Linked DNA regions of Danio rerio. The protein of the gene in region 2 purifies or fractionates together with the protein of the main gene of each other region. This does not show direct contact. Links are inferred from orthologs where the notes say so. Each region holds a gene or a part of one and is shown on either strand. Other genes may lie near its edges. The genes, in order: ociad1 and mtch2.

What was found.
Region 1: the proteins of mtch2 (region 2) and ociad1 purify together in Homo sapiens (affinity purification with mass spectrometry; 3 studies listed by BioGRID and IntAct, with this or other methods). This does not show direct contact. The link is inferred for Danio rerio from reciprocal best matches to the Homo sapiens genes MTCH2 and OCIAD1.

Annotation. Positions count from the first base shown.
Region 1 is NC_133195.1:25,852,810-25,857,367, reverse strand, and holds the start of ociad1 (OCIA domain-containing protein 1), read left to right. Parts: upstream 1-1,651; 5' UTR 1,652-1,686; intron 1,687-1,692; exon of another isoform or gene 1,693-1,816; intron 1,817-1,846; exon of another isoform or gene 1,847-2,114; intron 2,115-2,212; exon of another isoform or gene 2,213-2,285; intron 2,286-3,002; exon of another isoform or gene 3,003-3,086; 5' UTR 3,087-3,094; coding exon 3,095-3,154; intron 3,155-3,300; coding exon 3,301-3,385; intron 3,386-3,498; coding exon 3,499-3,552; intron 3,553-4,558. UniProt on the Homo sapiens protein: Maintains stem cell potency. Increases STAT3 phosphorylation and controls ERK phosphorylation. May act as a scaffold, increasing STAT3 recruitment onto endosomes. Involved in integrin-mediated cancer cell adhesion and colony formation in ovarian cancer.
Region 2 is NC_133182.1:38,885,925-38,889,751, reverse strand, and holds part of mtch2 (mitochondrial carrier homolog 2), read right to left. Parts: intron 2,811-3,827; coding exon 2,787-2,810; intron 2,643-2,786; coding exon 2,586-2,642; intron 2,374-2,585; coding exon 2,316-2,373; intron 2,223-2,315; coding exon 2,171-2,222; intron 2,100-2,170; coding exon 2,040-2,099; intron 1,910-2,039; coding exon 1,816-1,909; intron 622-1,815; coding exon 574-621; intron 1-573. UniProt on the Homo sapiens protein: Protein insertase that mediates insertion of transmembrane proteins into the mitochondrial outer membrane. Catalyzes insertion of proteins with alpha-helical transmembrane regions, such as signal-anchored, tail-anchored and multi-pass membrane proteins.

The DNA.
Region 1 (4,558 bases), on a different chromosome or scaffold from region 2:
TAATGTACAGACGTCACATCCATTAACAACACATTTTCCTTATAAATGTGAAAATGTAAAATAAAATAAAATCAATCATTTTTGTTTTATAGAGAGCCAACTCATATCCTTTTGATTATCACCTTTTTTTGTCACATCCATAACTCATGTTTATTTCCTTCATATAAAGTACAAAACATGTTGACAGACTGATATAACTGTCTCATAACTCTGTGATCAGTTGTTCTGGAAAATATAAACAAAAGTTTCAATATAATGTTAACACACTTTCTATGCGAATTTATGTTTTGAGTTTTTACTGCAAATGTCACATGCATAACGCTGGAATTGCTCGTATTCTTTTTTAACATTTGGGTAAAAAAATAATAAAAAACTTTTATCCCATTGAACAAAAATCATTTTAGTTTTTTTATTTAGGAGCAGCAAACATGTCAGGCTAAATAATTTAAATTAATGATTGACTTCTGCTGTCTTCATTAGTTTCAAAAACACTTATTTTTTTCAACACATTTAAAAAACACATTCAAAAAAATCTTACATATACCTTAGGAATGGTATAACAGAAAATTTTAGAGGTTTTAAAACCTTGATTTTTCCAAACCACAGTAAACCTTGAAACCGATTCCACAGTATGGAAACAAAACTGTTTAATCTATTATCATAAGATTTTACAGCAGGCCAGCTTTTACACAATACTGACAAGAAATAAAAAGAAAAACTATCACTCAATACTTCTTATTGATTTGTTTCTGATTCTTCACTTAAAATTACATTTACACAAGTCTTTCAGATATTGTTTACTTGTGTTATTGCATGCACTGCATTTAAAATATATATACTAAATTTAAAAGCAAAAATTTCAAGAATGTAACACCTATGCTAAAACAATCCCATGCAGCAGTCTTCCCCCCTGAACACCACTACTGTTCACAAGAGAAACACTACTGTCTTGACACTCAAAGCGGTAAGCAGGAAGAGTTTACACTTCAAGATCAGGAGTGTGAACTCTTCTCTGCTCCCTGCTGAATAGGCAGCCCTCTCTCACCAAATGCTGAGACTCTCGAGTTGTTAACATAATTTATGACTCATGCACATGTTTGCATAGGACACCAATTAACATCAGTGAGCCTTTCATCTGACAGATTTTATTAGATGGACAAGATAAGTTTGTCTAAAATGAAACAAAGCCATGTCTGCAGATTAATAACTCAACACTAACGGCTGCTCTGGTTTTACTGCATTTGTTTACATTATCTCTTAAGGAAATAAAAGAGAAAGTAAACTAACAGATTGATAATCTGGTGGTTTCAAACAAGAGGAGAGTTGTTAATGAACACGACTTGGTGGCTTTAAAACCCAGCCTAGTTACATCCTGTAACTAAAACCGCAGATCTTTACTATATAACTTATTCCTCCACTAAACATGTAACTATAACTCTATTCTAAAGAGTTTTCATAACGTCACATGCTTGCAAAAACACGGCTTCTCTCTATTTTCTGACAGGTTAAATGCAGTTTTGGCTCGCAAAAACTTACACTATGGTTTGTGCATTTAAACTATTGTTTCGTGTGGCCTATTTAACTCACGAATGGCACTAATGGTGTCTAGAAAGGCTGTCTAAGTAGACTGCTAACTATGTTTCGTGACACAACCACTGACTGTACTCATCTTCGCTTCAAATGCAGGTCAACATAACATAACTTGTCTACCAACTGATAATATCCTGCGAGGGGAAGTGCATGTGATACGACAACCGATGAGAGTTAAACAATAAGTTTACTCTCCCTGCCCAACGTTAGACGTCGGATATTTGAGGTTAGTCAAACAGAATTCGGCCTTTCTTACCTTTTTTAGAGCAGCTGCGCTTTTCCTCGTCAGTTAGCCTGCTCACGCTAGCGCTGAAAACCCGATGTCTCTTCTCTCCAAAAGATGGCGAGACCAACTCCAGCTTTACAAAAACAACATTTTACATCCGTTGACCTCTAGTGTTCGATCTTGAAGCTGATCTTCTCGGTCTTTTTTCGCAAAACACCTAAAAACTCGACGAATGACAACGTGCCCACCTCCCTGTCCATCAGATTGGAGCAGCGCTGGCTAACGGCTTTGACAATCCGCTGTTCTGATAGGGGAGTTGCTGTGTCAAGATTGCGGATCCAAGCCCCGCCCCTCGCATTCACACGCTTAACAAACGGACCGTTGTATTGGCGGATTGGGACGTCAATCAACGCACACTACTGCTGGATAGGTTGAAGGACAAGACTCCCTCGGTTTGTCATACGCGTTCGTAAGCAGCATAGACCTGATAAAATCAATCTTTTTTTAGTTCAGACCCGTTTACTGTTCGTTGTTTATGAGATTAGTTATTCTCTGTAAAGTCGGTCGATAGAAGTAATTAAATGCTATTGACATACAAATGAAAGCGATTAATAACGTACTTATACTGACACTTTAGTGTCAGTTATGATTCTATTAAGTTAAATGTAGTTTCTCTGTTCAGACTAAAGTATTTATATTGTCTAAGATGAGCATAACCATTATTTATTGCTGTAAATGGGTTATTAGTTTTAGTCTTACACATTTTCACGTGTTTGGACGCTTTTTGCCCCTTAAATAAATAAACATGAAATCACATAAAATGTTATGAATATTGTTATTTTAAAATCGCACGTTATTATTAGATGTGTATTACAAATGTTATTACAAGTCTACGTGTCGTATGAAAACAGTTCACATACAAATTTACTTATACATGTAAAGAAACTAAAAATGTATATTTAAATAATTTATTAAATTAAGAATCCGGGGAATTAAAATTAGTTTTTAATCGAAGTCGAATTTACAGTAAAGCATTCCTCATTACATAACTGTTTATACAGTAAACAAAAGCTCACAAGGCAAAACAATAAATCGAAAGAGACTTTTAATCTGTACTTCCGGCCTAACGCCTGCACTTCCGGGTTGGTCTGTTTTCCTAATAAGAGTCGACTGGAGGTCATGTCATAAAATGTGTCGTTGAACTTGTTGACTGGTAATCCGCGTAATCCCATGGCTACTGCAAAAACGTTGTTTTTGTAATTGCATCTAGGATTGGTCATGTCGCAAGCATCGTCTGGATTCACTCCGGCTGCCCAAGTCCAGCATGGGTCCAGTAAGGTAACGTTAGGCAGTAAATTCACCTGGCAGTGTTTGTAAACTAGAACTAAACTGCTCTGTCTCACGCAGAAGTACTCCAAAAAGCAGAGTGTGTCACTTAATCATCAATAGGTGTTCTTTAATTACTCATAATTTTGCCTCCTCAGGGTGCTTTTAATTCTGCTTATATTCCCACTGAAGAAGAGAAGCGTGTCTTCAGGGAGTGCAACTCAGAAAGCTTCTGGTACAGATGTGAGTAATGCTATCCAGTCATTAAATGTTGATTTTCTGCATTACGTTTTAGCCTTTGCTAGATACAGATGAGCGTTTCTGATTATGTGTTTGTGCTTTCTCATTGTCTTCAGCTTTACCATTTTCTGCAATAGCAGTCGGAATCACTCAGGTACTGGTAGCAAAAGGTATGTTCAAGTCCTATATTTCAGGTTTTTACGTCTGTTTCTCGTTCCTATTGTCATGGAAAACCTGGAATTATCAGTGAAGATTTAAAACAAAGGAAAACCTTGGAAGTTTCCATATAGAGAATATGATTATATAAATATAAATTTGTTAATTTTCTTGTCGGCTTAGTCCCTTTATTAATCTGTGGTCGCCATAGCTGAATGAATGGCCAACTTATCCAGCACATGTTTTTTGCAGTGGATAGATACCGTCCAGCTGCAACCCATCACTAGGAAACATCTATACACTCTCATTCACACACATGCACTACACACAGTTTAGCTTATCCAATTTACCTATACCACATGTCTTTGGACTGGGGGAAACTGGAGCATCTGGAGGAAACCCACACAAACACACACAAACATGCAAAATCCACACAGAAATGCCAGCTGACCCAGCGACCTTCTTGCTGTGAGGCGACAGTGATATCCACTGTGCCATAGTGCAGCCGCCTATATAGAGAATATTGTATTTCTAAAAATTCTGAGATATGCTTCTTTTTTTTTTTCTTTCTTTTTTTTTTTTAATGCGCTTAAAGTGTTCGAAAATGTATATTGTTAGATATACCTTTTGGAAAGTATATTTAGTCTCTCTTAAAATAATAATAAAGTAAAAAAAACATTTCACCCTGTTATTAATAATTACTATAAAGGTTATTGTTAATTCAGGGAAATTTAAGGGGTAGTTCACCCCAAACTGGAAAATTGTCATTGTTTATTCTCTGGGGTTCTCTGGCTAAACTATCACAGTACCAGTTATTATTAGTTTATTAGTTTATTTATTTATATAGCACATTTTTACAACACAACGTTGCCCAAAGTGCTGCACACAATCAATACTAAAAATAAAATCTACATCACATACATAGCAATTAAAACATAAGGCAAACCCCTCAACATTAAAAAGGGTAAAATACTAAAGAACAAAGTATGCATCGTTTGGTAAAAGAACAATACAAAATTT
Region 2 (3,827 bases):
AATATACATTTGTCAATGATATCATTTGATGGCTGGAAACTAAACTTCATTATTCAAAATCCTCTTTAACCTCTTTAAGCTCTTTTTAAAAAACTAAAGCCACATATGGTTGACAATGCATTATAATATTTTTTTTTTTACAAAATTTTTATGGCCTGGGCCCACATATTTCTTTGGGGATGATAGTTTACTGTCAGTAGCTCAGCATCTGAAGTGCTAATGTCCGCTGAGCTCATGAAAATTATTTGATTTGTCTGCGTTTGTCGGAACTAATCTACTAAACATCAAAAACCAGACAATGAAAAGTGAGTGCAGGTGATTTCTGCTTGCTCGTTTCCACAAAAAAAAAAACAAAAAACGTTTAAATGCATATTTAGCCAAACTATGAGAAAAAAGCAATCTTCAGTGAGTGATGTAAAATAATTGCCACAATGACCCTGATTAATTATCAACTTAGAATTCACTTAGAACAAAACTTAGTTGCGAATAGAAGTCATTTACATACTTTGTACAAGAAGAGTGTTTCTGAATGAAATGATACTTTCAGTTTCTAAATGAAATCAGAGGACTCACCCCAGTCACAGCCTGAGAGCAGTTCTTGATCTCTCCTGTATGACTCGTCTGAAAAAAGCAGAGTGACATGATCAGATCAGTATAAAATATTATTATATATTTAAAAAGTTTGAGCTTCAATATTGTTTATCATTAACTTAATAGCCATTATAAAAGCAACAACAGAAAACATATATCTTGAAAATATATTTAAAATAACAAGAGTATCCCAACACAGTCTAAAAAAAATGTTCATTTTGTGGCTTAAGCTCTTGAAATTTCTAGCCTTAGTTAACAGGATGGCCTACAGACTAGCGACTGCATTTAAGTGACTGCTAGCTAGCTAGCTAGCTAGCTAGCTATCTATCTATCTATCTATCTATCTATCTATCTATCTATCTATCTATCCATCTATCTATCTATCTATCTATCTATCTATCTATCTATCTATCTATCTATCTATCTATCTATCTATAAATATACATAAATACACATATAAAATAAAAAATTGCACTTCATTTCTTTATTTATTGCCTCACTGTGTGGTTATTTTAGTCATATTTTACAACTGCATATTTAAATAAGAAATGATACACAAACAAATACAAATAGTGATAAATAAAATTCACTAAAACTTTATATTAAAGCTTAAAATTTTTTTTAATTCAATATTTGATAAATAACTTTAAATTCTTCCTGGCGATACTTTTTAAAAACACCCATAACAGTGATTTCATTATAAAAAATGTGTTTAATAGTACTTAAACTATTACATTTTAATGTTTTATAGTGAGAGCAGCTGGACAATAATTACATGTTGGTGGTGCATCATTACTCAATAAATACAAATGAGTCAACCTAAAGTGACCAATATGGCATCTAATATAAACTGTCTGTCCATGCCTGTTTTAAAAAATTTAATTTGACAAGTGTATTTCATGTATTTTCAGGTTAAAAAAAAACGCTAAAAAGGAGACTAATTAAAACAATAGGTCAAATGTATAAATAAGATATGGTATAGACAAATTACATTTTGGTAATTGATAACAAAAACCTTGTCAAAAAAAAAAAAAGATATATTTGATTTTCCATGTCTGAAGAAGACCTTTCGAAATTCCATGACATTCCAGAAATTGTATGACACGTGGGAACCCTGAATGCAATAATGATTGATACATATGCAGCTGTTCTTGTATAACGGTGTACAAATCGAGGGTCAAGATGCTTTGTAGTTGATGCACGAGATCGTGTGTGTTTACGTACCGACTCATCTATAGTGTATGTGTTTATGAAGTGAGCAAGCATGTTGCAGATCCACAGGGAAAGAACGTCTCCCAGTAGACGAGGAATGAGGCCACTGTTGGTTTACAGACACATAAAAACGGAGTTAAAGACAAGAATGAAGATGTTTCACAGAGTCATTGAATGCTGATCTATTATTATCAGTTTTTTTAAGCAGCAAGTAGAAGTCGTAATTTTGCACTCACGCAAAAAATCCCAGGATTCCCTCCTCTCTGTATATGGTAACTATGGAGTCAAAAACACCACTGGACAGAACAAAAACAAACATTAATAAATATGAAAGAAAATAAAAAACTATTAAAATTAAACCACTGACCTGTATTTGGCTTCTCTGCCAATAAACTGGACCATACATCTGAGCGTGATCACTGGAATAAAAAGAAAAAACACACTCTCAGACTAAGAGAAAATGAGATATACATCACCATTGCAAAACATACTTATTTAATAACTGTATTTACCATGAAAAGGGTGTGTGACAACTGTAGCACATGAGCGAGCAATCATTTCTTTAGTGGTCTGACAAGACATAAATAAACAGGAAAATTAAAACAAACAACATCAAAACATGCACAAAAATATTCTGGCTTCAAGAAGCATTGCAACCACAAAAGTATGTTGATAAAATATACGCTGCTTGTGTCTGTCACATTAAATCGTGACTGTGAACAAGTCTTCATTGACAAAAAGTGCAAAGACCAGTCTTAAACTCTAAGCTTAAGCTATTTTACCTCATTTATTACTTGTTGCAGAGACCCTTCGTCTGATTTCAGACTGCTTCCCAACACCTGAGAGGACAAGAAGATGAGATTGACATTATTAATGTATAACAGACTCCAGAAATAAAACACAAAATTAAAAAAAAAATTAAGGAAACGCATGTGCAGGATACATTTATAACCTATATTGAATATTCATGGATGTATTCTTACCTCAATTTTTTCCTCCTGGCACTTCTGTGGGTTATAACAAAAGGTTAGAGCCAGATAAAACAAGTATAAATAACCTCTGCTCAACTGTGCCCAGCCAGATAAACATGAAAGTCACATTGCAACAGTCTGAACACTACACCCGGCACAGATTATGCTTACAGAAAGCTAACTAAAAGGATAAAATACTGTACACGACTATGAATATACTGGCTGACTTTGTCAATAGTTAAATCTTACTCCACAATGACTAAAGGTCACACAAATCCAGACTACCAAGTACAGTATATCAAAAATTAAAGTGTCTCACTGCTAAGAAGTAGATATTCAACAAACAAAAGCAATGTTATCTAGGGCTGCACGATTAATCGAAAAAAGATCACAATCTCGATTCGACCCTGCACACAATCCTAATTCAGCTTTTTCTACGATTCAGCTAATTATATTTTCAAGGTCAGGAGAGAAGAAAAGGCGACCCAACAAGTCTTCACAGCAACATTGACACCTTCAAATGGAGTTAAAAGTGTCCTATACTGTATTTATAAGTTATAATTCACCCAAAATGTCATTTCTGTCTTCATGTAACGATGTATTCACGGTCACGAAATCACACAAGAGCTGACGCACTGTTCACTGCTGAGTATGCGCGGATGCATGCAAATGATGCCTACTTCAGTGAATATAACCTGCATATGCTGTGAATAACAGGTAATGAAGTTGTAAATAACGTTCAGTTGGTTGCACAGAGCAATCATTTGAGAGCCGTGCGGGAGGTTTGATTTGCATGTATGTGTTTTTCTCTCACAGTGACAACAGCCATGAGCCACACTCTGAAGAGAAAGTGAAACCTGTGCGCACATTTAAATGAGCATATCGCATTTTAGAGTTATGATTACAAGCATTTGAATGTTTTTTTTCTTTCATAGCGAACACAAAGTGTTGTGCATGAAAATAAATGTTTACTGTTTCAGTATAACAACCCTAGCCTATATATAATGGTCTAATAATGTTGACAGATGACAAGCACATGTTTTAAACATAATA